3 linked regions of the Macaca mulatta genome follow. The protein of the gene in region 2 purifies or fractionates together with the protein of the main gene of each other region. This does not show direct contact. Links are inferred from orthologs where the notes say so. Each region holds a gene or a part of one and is shown on either strand. Other genes may lie near its edges. The genes, in order: USP12, DMWD and USP46.

Evidence for each region.
Region 1: the proteins of DMWD (region 2) and USP12 purify together in Homo sapiens (affinity purification with mass spectrometry; 3 studies listed by BioGRID and IntAct, with this or other methods). This does not show direct contact. The link is inferred for Macaca mulatta from reciprocal best matches to the Homo sapiens genes DMWD and USP12.
Region 3: the proteins of DMWD (region 2) and USP46 purify together in Homo sapiens (affinity purification with mass spectrometry; 5 studies listed by BioGRID and IntAct, counting the BioPlex papers as one, with this or other methods). This does not show direct contact. The link is inferred for Macaca mulatta from reciprocal best matches to the Homo sapiens genes DMWD and USP46.

The regions. Positions count from the first base shown.
Region 1 is NC_133422.1:7,181,889-7,185,523, forward strand, and holds part of USP12 (ubiquitin carboxyl-terminal hydrolase 12), read right to left. Parts: intron 860-3,635; coding exon 630-859; intron 1-629. UniProt on the Homo sapiens protein: Deubiquitinating enzyme that plays various roles in the regulation of the immune response and inflammation.
Region 2 is NC_133424.1:58,340,924-58,345,141, reverse strand, and holds the start of DMWD (dystrophia myotonica WD repeat-containing protein), read left to right. Parts: upstream 1-1,324; 5' UTR 1,325-1,413; coding exon 1,414-1,854; intron 1,855-3,080; coding exon 3,081-3,263; intron 3,264-4,218. UniProt on the Homo sapiens protein: Regulator of the deubiquitinating USP12/DMWD/WDR48 complex. Functions as a cofactor that promotes USP12 enzymatic activity.
Region 3 is NC_133410.1:80,841,777-80,845,972, reverse strand, and holds the start of USP46 (ubiquitin carboxyl-terminal hydrolase 46), read right to left. Parts: upstream 2,891-4,196; 5' UTR 2,797-2,890; coding exon 2,761-2,796; exon of another isoform or gene 2,146-2,760; intron 1,939-2,145; exon of another isoform or gene 1,823-1,938; intron 229-1,822; exon of another isoform or gene 1-228. UniProt on the Homo sapiens protein: Deubiquitinating enzyme that plays a role in behavior, possibly by regulating GABA action. May act by mediating the deubiquitination of GAD1/GAD67.

The sequences.
Region 1 (3,635 bases), on a different chromosome or scaffold from region 2:
CAAGACCAGCCTGAGCAACACAGTAAGACCCGTCTCTACAAAAAATAAAAATTCAAAAATTAGCTGGGCATGGTGGCACGTGCTGGTGGCCCTTGCTACTTATGAGGCTTAGATGGAAGGATTGCTTGAGCCCAGGAAGTCAAGGCTACTGCACTCCAGCCTGGGTGTAACGATTTTCAAGCTTCATCTTTACAAAGTGTACAGCAAGTGGGGTATCTTCCCCTCCTTGAGGGACACTGTATGCTTTAGTTTTTAATTCCAACAATGGATACTAAAGGTAATTGTAGAAAAAGGAAAAACAAATTAGTATGCCTCCCTGATCGGTATGATCCTATGAGATTTTGTCCTAAGACATAATTTTCACAACATGGTCTGTGGCCTCCTAAACTGAAAGAAAATCAAACAGTTCAAGCTACGACATCTTTCTATCACCTCAGGTATTCATTGTCAATAAGCAACATTACATTAAGAATACAGATGGAGTCCTTTTAACTGAAAAACCCATCTTTAACTCCAATATTTAAGAATTACAACTTTCAAGTTCATCTTCCATTCTTCTCTTTCTCAAAGAACAACCTTTAACGTAATGATTCAATTTTTCTCTATACAAAATTGTATGATATACTTACAGTTTCACAAGTAAGACATCTGGTTTCATTAGTTAATGTTCCCTGAAAAATCTCATGAACCCACGTTGGGTCTGGTGTGCTGTTATTATTTTCATTGTCAATATTACCATTAGGTAAGCGACCATTTTGTTTTTCCTGCTTTCTCTCTTCTTGTAAAATATCAGCAATTGTATTTAGCAGGTAATTTAAGAATTCATGGGCATCTTGTTGCATGTAGTTGTCAAAAAGCTCTGAAAATAAAAACATAACATTAGATAATTATTTCAGAATTAAAACTTCATAAAAAAACCATTTATAAAAGAATATCTAGTATTGGGTCAAAACTAAAATATAAATGCACAAGGTTTTTGTAATGTATAACAAATAAATAACTTTCACATCTAAAACTTTTATCTGTATTTGGGGAAAATAAATGTAAAATTAATGAAAATCTTGTTTAAACATACTACTAATTGACCCATGAGAAAAGGGCAAAACCTATCCTCATAATTAGCAAAACAGATACTGAGAATTTAAGAAGAAATTGCTTATTAGCTTACCTAACCTATTATTCCACAAATATTTCAACGTGGCAAGCTTTAATGCAGAAATTGGACAACCATTTGCCAATGCCAAGCCAACTGCTTAAGACCCACCACAAAGTTTATTAAAAATAAATTACTGAACCGTACATCCCAGGGATTCTGATTCAGTTGGTAAGGGGTGAGGCCAGAACGTGGGGCTTTTCAAAGCTCCTCCAACTAACTCTAATGCAGAGTCAGGTTTAAGAATCATGTTATCAAGAATTATCTATGTAATCTAGGTAATCTCAAGTCCCTTCCAAATGTGAGATTTTGTAATTCCAAGAAACATTTCCTGCAGTTACACAAGTGAGTAAATATAATTGAAATACTGGTGGTGCTAACATCAAGTGCACTTTACCCTGTGCTTGGCAATACACCACTCTACCAAGAACAGTAAGTCCAACACCCACTTGCTGGGCACTTTGTAAAGATAAAGCCTGAAAATGGCTACACCCAGGCTGGAGCGCAGTGGCCCAGAAGTAAGGACTTCAGAGGCAGTATCTCATTGGATCCCCAACAACCATGTAATACTGTTACTAACTTTATTTTTAAACATGAAAATGGGACCAGAGAGGGTACAGTCACACTGCCAAGAAATGGCAGAGCCAGGATTCAAACTGGGCAGCCTGACTCCACCATGCCACACACAAAGTAATGCCCAGTGTGAGCCCACATACATGAATTGGTCAACAAAATGCATTGAGAAAACCTATCTATTTAGGACATTTTATTTTTAGATTCTCAATGTACATTTAATAAATTCCAGAAGAGTAATTTTACATTTTAAAATAGGTAATTTTACATTTTAAAAATGAATGCATACAAATTTAGAAAAAAATTTAGGGAAAGTCTAAGATAAAAGGAATTAACAACTACATTTTAGAAGAGATACAGATATGACTATATAAAATTAAGTTCTATGTATTAGAAATCTTTTAAAAAGTTAAAAAAAAGTGAAATCTGGAAATTATTAACATTTTCAACATATAAAAGCAAATCTCATATAAAAGAAAACCAAAGTGGGCAACAGACTTGCAATTGATTGATAAGAAAAAAACAATCAAAAGACTAAGAAACATGAGAAAATGTTCAATCCCATGGTAAATTAAAAAAAAAAAAAAAAAAAAAGCAGGCTGAGCTCACTGGCTCATGCCTGTAATCCCAGCACTTTGGGAGGCCAAGGCAGGTGATCACCTGAGGTAAAGAGTTTGAGACCAGCCTGAGCAACATGGTCTCTACTAAACACAAAAAATTCACTGGGCGTGGTGGCGCATGCCTGTAATCCCATCTACTTGGAAGGCTGAGGCAGAAGAATCTCTTGAACCTGGGAGGTGGAGGTTGCAGTGAGCCGAGACTGCGCCACTGCACTCCAGCCTGGGCAACAAGAGCAAAACTCCGTCTCAAAACAAAACAAAACAACACAACAACAACAAAAAATCCAGAATACCATTCTTTGCAAAGTTATTGTAAAAACAGAAAGGGAACGAGTGAAGCTATTTATGGGGGTGGGGGACACAGCTGCTAGAGCAAGGCTGTCTGGGTTGGTGCTATGGTTCTACCTCTAACTGCACGTGTGGCATAGGCAACTTATTCAACCTCCCTGTGCCATAATTCCTCATCTGAAAAATGGGGCTCACAGCAGTACCTACACCTCACAAGGCTGGTAGAAAGATTAGAAGGGCTTAGAATACAACAATAGGTTTTGTATTCTGTTCAACAACCACCACAGTAACAATATTGGCAGTATCACTACAGGTTGAGTATCCTTTATCCAAAATGCTTGGGAGCAGCAGTGGTTGGGACTTTAGACTGCTTCAAATTTGAAAACATTTGCATACACATAATGATATATTTTGGGGATGGGATTCAAGTCTAAACATGAAATTCATTTGTTTCATATACACCTTATAGTCTGGAGGTAACTTTATATAGTACTTTTTTTTTTTTTTTTGAAACGGAGTTTCACTCTTGTTGCCCCCGATGGAGTGCAACTTTATATAGTATTTTTAAAAACTTTGTGCAGGGAACTAAATTTGTGTACACTGAACTATGAGAAAGTAAAGTTGTTACTACCTCAGCCACCCATGTGGCATCCTGCAGCTCAAAAAGTTTCAGATTTCTGGATTACGGATGCTCAACCTACATTGTTGTTGCTACTGAATAAAATACAAAACACATCAAAGACTGACTACGTAAAAATTATGAACTTCTGTATGGCAAAGTCAACATAAATAAAGACAAGTGACAAACAAGGAGAATTATTTGCATATTAATATCCAGACTATGTAAAGGCTTAATATACAGAATATTAAAAAAAAAAAAACCCTTTACAAAACAAGAAAAGAAAAAACCAATTTAAAAAATAGGCAAAGGAAAATAATAGCCAATTCAGAGTAGAAATATAAATGCCTATATAATATATGACAAGGGACTGGGAAATAAC
Region 2 (4,218 bases):
TTTTTAGAGAGACTGAGTCTGGCTCTGTCCCCCAGGCTGTAGTGTGGTGATGTGATCATAGCTCACTGCAGTCTTGATCTCCTGGGCTCAAGTGATCCTCCCACCTCAGCCACCTAAAGTGCTGGGATTCTGGGATTCCAGACGTGAGCCATTGTAGGATTTTTTTTTTTTTTTTTTTTTTTTTTAAGTGTGAGATGCCCTTGGGACACTCTAAGGAGAAATCGTAGAGGCCATTGACTACGTGAGACTAGGAAGATCTATGATGGGGCTGGGTGACTTCAGCAGACATGGGGAGCACTGGCTATGAGTAGGAGCTGTTGGGATCAGTGGGAGACTTTGGGTTACGAGTGGATCACTGGGACACTGGGGCACCGTGGGGATCAATAGAATTTGAGAATCAGAGGTGGGTTTTGGAGGACAAGTGAGGTTGTTGAAAATAAGAAAGTCGGGCCGGGCGCGGTGGCTCAAGCCTGTAATCCCAGCACTTTGGGAGGCCGAGACGGGCGGATCACGAGGTCAGGAGATCGAGACCATCCTGGCTAACACAGTGAAACCCCGTCTCTACTAAAAAATACAAAAAAAAAACTAGCCGGGCGAGGTGGCGGGCGCCTGTAGTCCCAGCTACTCGGGAAGCTGAGGCAGGAGAATGGCGTAGACCGGGGAGGCAGAGCTTGCAGTGAGCTGAGATCCGGCCACTGCACTCCAGCCTGGGCGACAGAGCGAGACTCCGTCTCCAAAAAAAAAAAAAAAGAAAGAAAATAAGAAAGTCATGGAAATATACATTGGAGGTTGGTGGAAAATATGAAGGATGTTTGGGGTTAGCATTAATCAATAGTGGGTCAGAGGAAGTCCTTTGAGTTGTGTGGGGACACAGGGATTTGGCGGGTCACCAAGGGTGGGGAAGAATGGTAGCAGATGCTGTGGTCATTCAGGGATTTGAATATGTCAGTGGGAAACATTGGCGGTCAGGGGAGTGTATGTTGGGCGTCTAAGGAGAGACCAGGGTCACTTGGGGTCGGCTGTGACTTCATGGGAAGGCTGGACTATGGATGAGGGCTTCTTTGGTGGGGGGGTCCCTCCGTTGCTAGGCAAACGGTTCCCAGGGCGCGGTTGCTAAGGACTTGAGCTTTCTAACTGGCCACGCCTCTTTCCATTGCGGGCTCCGCCCCCGCAGTCAACCACAAGTCGGTCACAGGCACAAAGACCGCGCCCACCTTCTCGCCCCGCCCACAGTCCCAGCACCGTTACCCGAGCGACCGTGGGGGTTCGTCCCGCCTCCGGACCTGGGTGCCAATCGAAGAGGCGTTGCCGGGGCGACGACTCCACCTTTTCCGGTGCGGGCCCGCGGCTTCCGGCAGGGGGCCCGGCTGCGGGCGGCAGTCCGGCAGCGGCGGGGCCCGGGGGGCGCCCAAGATGGCGGCGGGCGGCGCGGAGGGCGGCTCGGGCCCCGGCGCCGCCATGGGGGACTGCGCGGAGATTAAGTCCCAGTTCCGCACGCGCGAGGGTTTCTACAAGCTGCTCCCGGGCGACGGCGCCGCTCGCAGGTCGGGTCCGGCTTCCGCCCAGACCCCGGTGCCGCCCCAGCCGCCGCAGCCCCCGCCCGGCCCTGCCTCTGCCTCCGGTCCTGGCGCTGCAGGCCCTGCGTCGTCCCCGCCGCCCGCAGGCCCCGGGCCTGGGCCCGCGCTGCCCGCCGTGCGCCTCAGCCTCGTGCGCCTCGGGGAGCCCGACAGCGCCGGGGCCGGGGAGCCGCCCGCCACGCCCGCGGGGCTGGGCTCGGGGGGAGACCGCGTCTGTTTCAACTTGGGCCGTGAGCTCTATTTCTACCCAGGCTGCTGCCGCCGTGGGAGCCAACGGGTGAGCGGCCTGCATCGTGGGGCCCTGGGTGCTGAAAGGATGGACGTTCCAGAGAACTGATAGGAGGGTGCCTGAATTGATATAGGGCCCTGAGATAGGCATCCTAAATGTGATGGACGTCCTGGGGCAACAGCATTGGAGGGAGTACAAGATTCTGAAATGCGATGGGAGGCCCGCGGGGTGCTGGGCAGGCATCTTTGAGGTGATGGGGGAAATCCCCTTTACCCCCGTTATGCGTAGGGGTTCTGGGATGGCGAGTATTGGACATGATGGGGTATCTGAGATGAGGTGGGATCCCCCGGGTTCTGGGGTGGCAGGTATTCTGCAGGTAATGGGGAATCATGAGGTGATGCAAGCTCAGAGGTGATGGAGAACCCAGTATTGCATCCTGGAGGTGTTGGAGAGGGGCTTGAGATTGAGCCCAGGAATGTGGAGAAGTCTAGAAGTGATGGAGGCCTTGAAGGTAATAGGGGATCCAGAAGCTGAATGGGATCCTAGAGAAAATTGGGGTCTGGAGGTCATGAGGGTCCTGGAGGAGATAAGCGTCTGGAATCTGATGGGAGCTCTCAAGGGGATGAGAGGCTCTGGCAGGCGAATCTGCAAGTGTGATTCAGGGCATCTCTAAAGCGGTGTGGTGAGAACCTTGGGAAACTTATGGTGGCCCCAGAAATGATGAGGATCCTCAGAGCCCTGAGGTAGTAAATGGGCCTAAAATGTGGGAGACTATGAGTTTTGATGGGTCCCTGAACTGTGGCGGTTTAGGGATTCCAAAGTGAAGCGAATACTAGGATGTTAGGCTTTAGAGTCCTGGGAATTTGGGTGACCTTGAGGTTTGGGGGTCTTGGAATAGTGTGGTACTAGGTCCTAAGGGAGTTGCTGAGGTTATAGGGTGGAGTGGTGGGGCTAAAAGGAATCGGAGCTCAGGAACTGTGTGGCCCCAGAACCCTGAAGTTGTGGACAAGGGTGTTTCTGAATTAGGGGTGACCCAACTTGGGGGAGGCACTGTGGTCAAGGGGGATCCTTACTATCTTTTTTGCTACTCCATCTGTGATTTAGGTCCCCTTCCCGTCTGTGGTTGCCCCCTCTTTCCCAATCCACCTACTCACCTCCCCACTTCCCTCTGGGTTCTAACCCTGCTTCCTCTTAGTGGTTTCCCCCAACCTCAACATCCTTTTCCTTCCCCTCAGTGGCATACACCATTAACTCCTTTTCTCCCACCCCTCAAGTCCATTGACCTCAACAAGCCAATTGACAAGCGGATCTACAAGGGCACCCAGCCCACCTGCCACGATTTCAACCAGTTCACTGCTGCCACCGAGACCATCTCCCTGCTGGTGGGCTTCTCAGCGGGTCAGGTGCAGTACCTCGATCTCATCAAAAAGGACACCAGCAAGCTGTTCAATGAGGAGGTGATTGCAGCCCCCAGAACCCCCAACTGCTCTGCCTTCTCACCTACCCACTATATGCCATTAGGTTTCAGCTGCCTGGGGACCAGTGTAGGCCTGAGAGGGGCAGGACCAGGGAGAGATGAGAATGGGGTGACAGCAGCTAATGACAGCTGCACTGTACCCAGGCCCTATGCTGTGTTACCCCTGTGCTGAATACTTTACTCCTTGAGTTTTTTTTATTTATTTATTTATTTTATTTATTTTTTTGAGACGGAGTCTCACTCTGTCGCCCAGGCTGGAGTGCAGTGGCGTGATCTCCGCTCACTGCAAGCTCCGCCTCCTGGGTTCATGCCATTCTCCTGCCTCAGCCTCCCAAGTAGCTGGGACTACAGGCGCCCACCACCACGGCCAGCTAATTTTTTGTATTTTTAATAGAGACGGGGTTTCACCGTGTTAGCCAGGATGGTCTCAGTCTCCTGACCTCGTGATCCGCCTGCCTCGGCCTCCCAAAGTGCTGTTGTTACAGGCGTGAGCCACCATACCCGGTTTTTTTTTTTTTAATTGTAATTGTAATTTTTATTGTTTTTAATTTTTTTTCCTTTTTGAGGCAGAATCTTGCTCTGTCACCCAGGCTGGAGCACATTGGTACAATCTCTGCTCACTGCAACCTCTGCCTCCCCAGTTCAAGCAATTCCCCTGCCTCAGCCTCCTGAGTAGCTGGAATTATAGGTGCCCACCATCATACCTCGCTAATTTTTGTATTTTTGGTAGAGACTGGGTTTCATCATGTTAGCCAGACTGGTCTCAAACACCTGACCTCGTGATCCACCTGCCTCGCCCTCCGAAAGTGCTGGAATTACAGGCGTGAGCCACCGCGCCTGGCCACTCCTTGAGTTTTCATCAACCAGTGGATGCAGAAGTGTGCTGCCCATTTTGCAGATTAGAGAATTGAGGCTAGTAAATAAGTTGGGACTTA
Region 3 (4,196 bases), on a different chromosome or scaffold from region 2:
CGTCTGATCCAGTGAAAAGACAGCAGTTTTCTCATATCCAGCCTTCTCCTCTGGGAAGGAAGACTGGGAGGGGCGGCAGGGGCGGTGGGGGCGGGGGGGGGGGGTGACCTGAGCAGGGGGCGGGGTTAAGGATTCCCACTCCAGCCTTCCTAAACGTGGGCGGTGTTTATATTAGTGGTTGTTTCCACCAGGTCTGAAATGGCATGATCTCCACTGTCCTTTAAACACCTGGTAGATGACATAACAATGAGAAAGATGATGTTGACAATGACACTGAGTTCTAGCCATGTACCAGGCCCTATGCCCGAGTAATACAATATTAACATCTCCTTTTGGTAGATAAGGAAAGTCTAAGACTGGGCAACTTGTTCAAGGACACAAAGCCAACATGTGTTAGAACCAGGACCTGCCGAGCATGGTGGCTCACAGCAGTAATTTGGCGCTTCGGAAGGCTGAGGTGGGAGGACCTCTTGAGCCCAAGAATTAGGGACCACCTTGGGGAACAAAGGGAGACCCAGTCTCTATGGAAAATTTAAAAATTAGCCAGGCATGGTGGCACGTGCCTGTAGTCCCAGCTACTCAGAAGGCAGAGGTGGGAGAATCGCTTGAGCCTGGGAGGTGGAGGCTGTAGTGAGCCACCATGTTCATGCCACTGCACTCCAGCCTGAGTGACAGTGTGAGACCCTGTCAAAAAAAAAAAAAAAAAAAAGGAACCAGGACCTGAACCCAGAAAGTCTGACATTAGAACCCAAACTCTGTCACTCTCTCTAGACACAGCGTCTAAATAGGCACATCGGACTCTTTAATTAATGAAATTACTCGTTCCTCACTTCATCTGGGTGATGGTCCTAAATTTGGTACCTTTTTAGGTCTCCACCCGAGATGTCAACTCTCAGGGCAGTATTGGCCTGCTCCTCTCAGGTCCTCCCCACACCCTGTCTCCCTAGCTGAGTTTCACTGAAACACATTGTGACATTCAGCCCAGGTGTGCCAGAAAGCCCCAACAGCACTGAGGGCGGGAGGGAGGCGGGTGGGGGGAGGTTGGGGGCTGGCTTCCTCTAGGGACATGCTAGCTCTCAAGTTTCCAGCCTGCTTCTACACAGAGAGGTGTAACCACACACAAGCTGGACAAGAACACCACCAAGGGCTGGGACGGAGCCTAACTACCCTGTAGTATCCTTAGGCCTGCGGCCACACCAACAGACATGAAAGAGTATTCAAGCTGCTCCTGATTCACAGTTCCCTCAGAAGCTGGTCGTAGGAGAGAGAAACTGAGAAGGCATCACCTCTATAACAAGCAGCCCCTCCACAGGAATAAGAGTAAACCTGTCTCCTCGCAGAGAAATGAAAAAAGAGAAAACAGAAAGGCTCCAGGATCCACTCCCTGTATGAATTCGCCCGGCACCAACCAATACCTGTGCAGCTATCACTCTGGGAGGCCCCAGCATTTGCTCTGCTGGCCGTGACAGTGGCACGTCCCACTGTGCTGAAAGCTGAAGCCAGCAGGTCTCAATTCCACCCCTGAGCTAACACAAGGTTTCTTAATGCTCCTTTGCCATGTGTTGATCTTGCAACAGAATGTGGGACAGAAGATTTAAAAAGCTATGTGATGAGGGAAGGACAGCCAGATCACCTTACACCAGGGCTTCTCCATCAAGCTTCCTTGGATTCCCTTTAGGGGCCAGTATTACTAGCTTCTAGGGAGGTTTTCCTCAAACTGGCACTGTAAGAGCACGTGTTGCCTCTGGGGACCAGTTTGGGAGGGGGCTGGAGGGGGGCGGGGTGCAGTCTAAAGAATGGAGCAAAGCACACATCATCTCACCCTGCAAGGGACAGCAATGCCTTACTCCAGTCTGAGCTCCCAAAGGCTCTGACGTGTGGAGGTGCCAGCAGGGTCCACCCTGGGGACCCTGGGGACCCAAGGGCTGGAGGTTCTTCCTACAGAAAAAGGGAAAGCAATGGGAGAAGCCCAAATTAAAGTGACCACCGCGTCATGGGCTCGGACTGCATCAGAACCCAGTGATGTCCCTGGCTGTATCCATGCCCGCCAGCCTCCCCTAGGTCTACAGCGGATAAGGTAGGATAACCCTGGAGACCTCCTCCAAGCCCACAGCCGGCCCCACCCTTAGGGCATGCAAATATTACCTCTACAGAGCCTTGTCCCTTTTTCACAGATGGGGAAACTGAGGCATGCGGAGCAAATTACGGTGCTTTTTCAAACCAGGCTGAAGTTCACTTCTCTAGCCACAATTTTGCACTTTTTTACAGCTTTATTACATTTCCAATTTCTCCATATACACAATTGGTGTTGCAAAGTGAATTCTAAACACCGCTGAAGGACTGAACTCAAAATGAGATGAGGGCAGTCTGGGCGTCCAACAAGGCCGACTTGACCGCAAGAAGAGGATGGGTGCCCCCACCTCCACCTTATCCCCCACCCCCTCCCTGGGGACGTTCAGGTTCGGTCGCTTCCCTTCCCTCAAGCCGCTTCCACCGCAACCCAAGGGCGGGGGCGCAGCAGCGGGGCCCCGGGATCGCCGGGCGGGCTCTGATGTACCGGGGCTGAGGCGGGCGCGGGGGGCTCGGGGACCCTCCCCGGCCGCTGAGGGGGCTGCGACCGCGCGCCCAGCTCGGCGGCCGGGAACTTCTGGCGGCGCGGACCCCGCCGCCCCAGCCGCCGGGCGAATGGTGCAGTTCGGGCTTCCCTTTCTTTGCCTCGCCGCGAGTCGGGCGCGACCCCGAGGCGGCTCGGCCACTCACCATATTACAGATGGAGGCGATGTTTCGGACAGTCATTAGTCTAAAGGTTGCAGCGATCCCTCACCGCCATCTTTACAAGGGGAAACCGGGACTGCCCATGGTGGCGCGCTGGCGGGGAGGCCGGGCGGCGGCGCGGCGGCCTGGGGTCCAGCTTTCAGTTTGGCTGGGAGAGGGAGGCCGGGAGGAGGAGGCGGCGGCGCGGGGAGGGCGGGGAGGGAGCGCGGAGGGGCGGGGAGTGGCGGAGCGAGGGAGCCTGGGCCGCGGCCGGCGGCGCGGGGAGGAGGGGCGGCCCGGGCGCGCCGCGTGAGTCCGAGCCGGCCGCTCCGAGCGCTCCGGGCTGGGTTCCCGGGCCCCGCCGCGCCGCCTCCCTCCCCGCCCGGCCTGGCCTCCTGCTTTTCCATTTGATTCCCTGCCTCTCTCTATTCGGACTGGAATGCCGGGCCAGGCTCCGGGGCGCGCCGCTGCGGCAGCCGCACCCCGCAGGTCCCCCTGGCCGACTCCGACGCGGAAGCAGCGGCCCTCCTCGCCGTCGGGAAGCCAGGGAGCCGGGGACGGCACGGGGTGCGGGGTGGGGAGGCGGGAGGCCCGGGCCGGGGCGAACCCGGGGCCGCCTTCCGTCCTCGCTTTTTCCTTGTCGCCTTCCTCCCGCAGCGCCTCGGCAGCCTCCGGTGTTTAGTTTTTGGCGAGGGGTAGGGGTGGCAACGTCCAACTTTTAGTTCTTCCCGAGGGTTCCAACCAGATGGCACCGGCGGGGACCCAAGAAGTAAAATGGGGCGAGGACACCGGAGCGGTCAGAGAGCCCTCGCCAGCCGCGGGCCGGGCGCCCGAGAAAGGGCGCCAGGAGGCGAGAGGAATCCGGGTCTGGGCGGAGGCCAGCAGCGGCGCGCTTGGGCGGCTTGTAACATTAGCGGGTCCAAAGGAGACGTCCCGGTTCCGCGCAAGCACTAAGGAGCGGAAGGAACGAAAACAAAACTTTTCCATATCTTCAAGGCAGGCATACCCCTCTCAGGGATGCCCAGCCTCCAATTGTTGAGATGGACGCTGTATGGGATCATGCACATTTCCCGCATTAAAGGTCGTGTCTGTGGGTTCAGAGGGTGAGTCTGTGCACCACTTAGCAGATAGGTCCACGCGAATTGAAGGGGCCGGTTTCTGAATGTGTGAAACAGTTACACATACAAAGTTGCAATTCGATGCTTTCATGGGAGAAGTTGTACAAGTGAGATGCGTGATAAATTCTTAAATCAATATATTTAATGACAAATTGAATCAGAAGAAAAATTAGTTGAAGATAAATTTTATCTAACCAAGAGTAAACATTTGAGAGCCCTTGATTGCTAATACCCCCTAGGATCTGGGGAGGAAACAGTAAGACAGACTCGTTGACTGAAGGTTTTGGGAGTCATGTCACTGTGTTTTCCAGTGCACATAAGAAG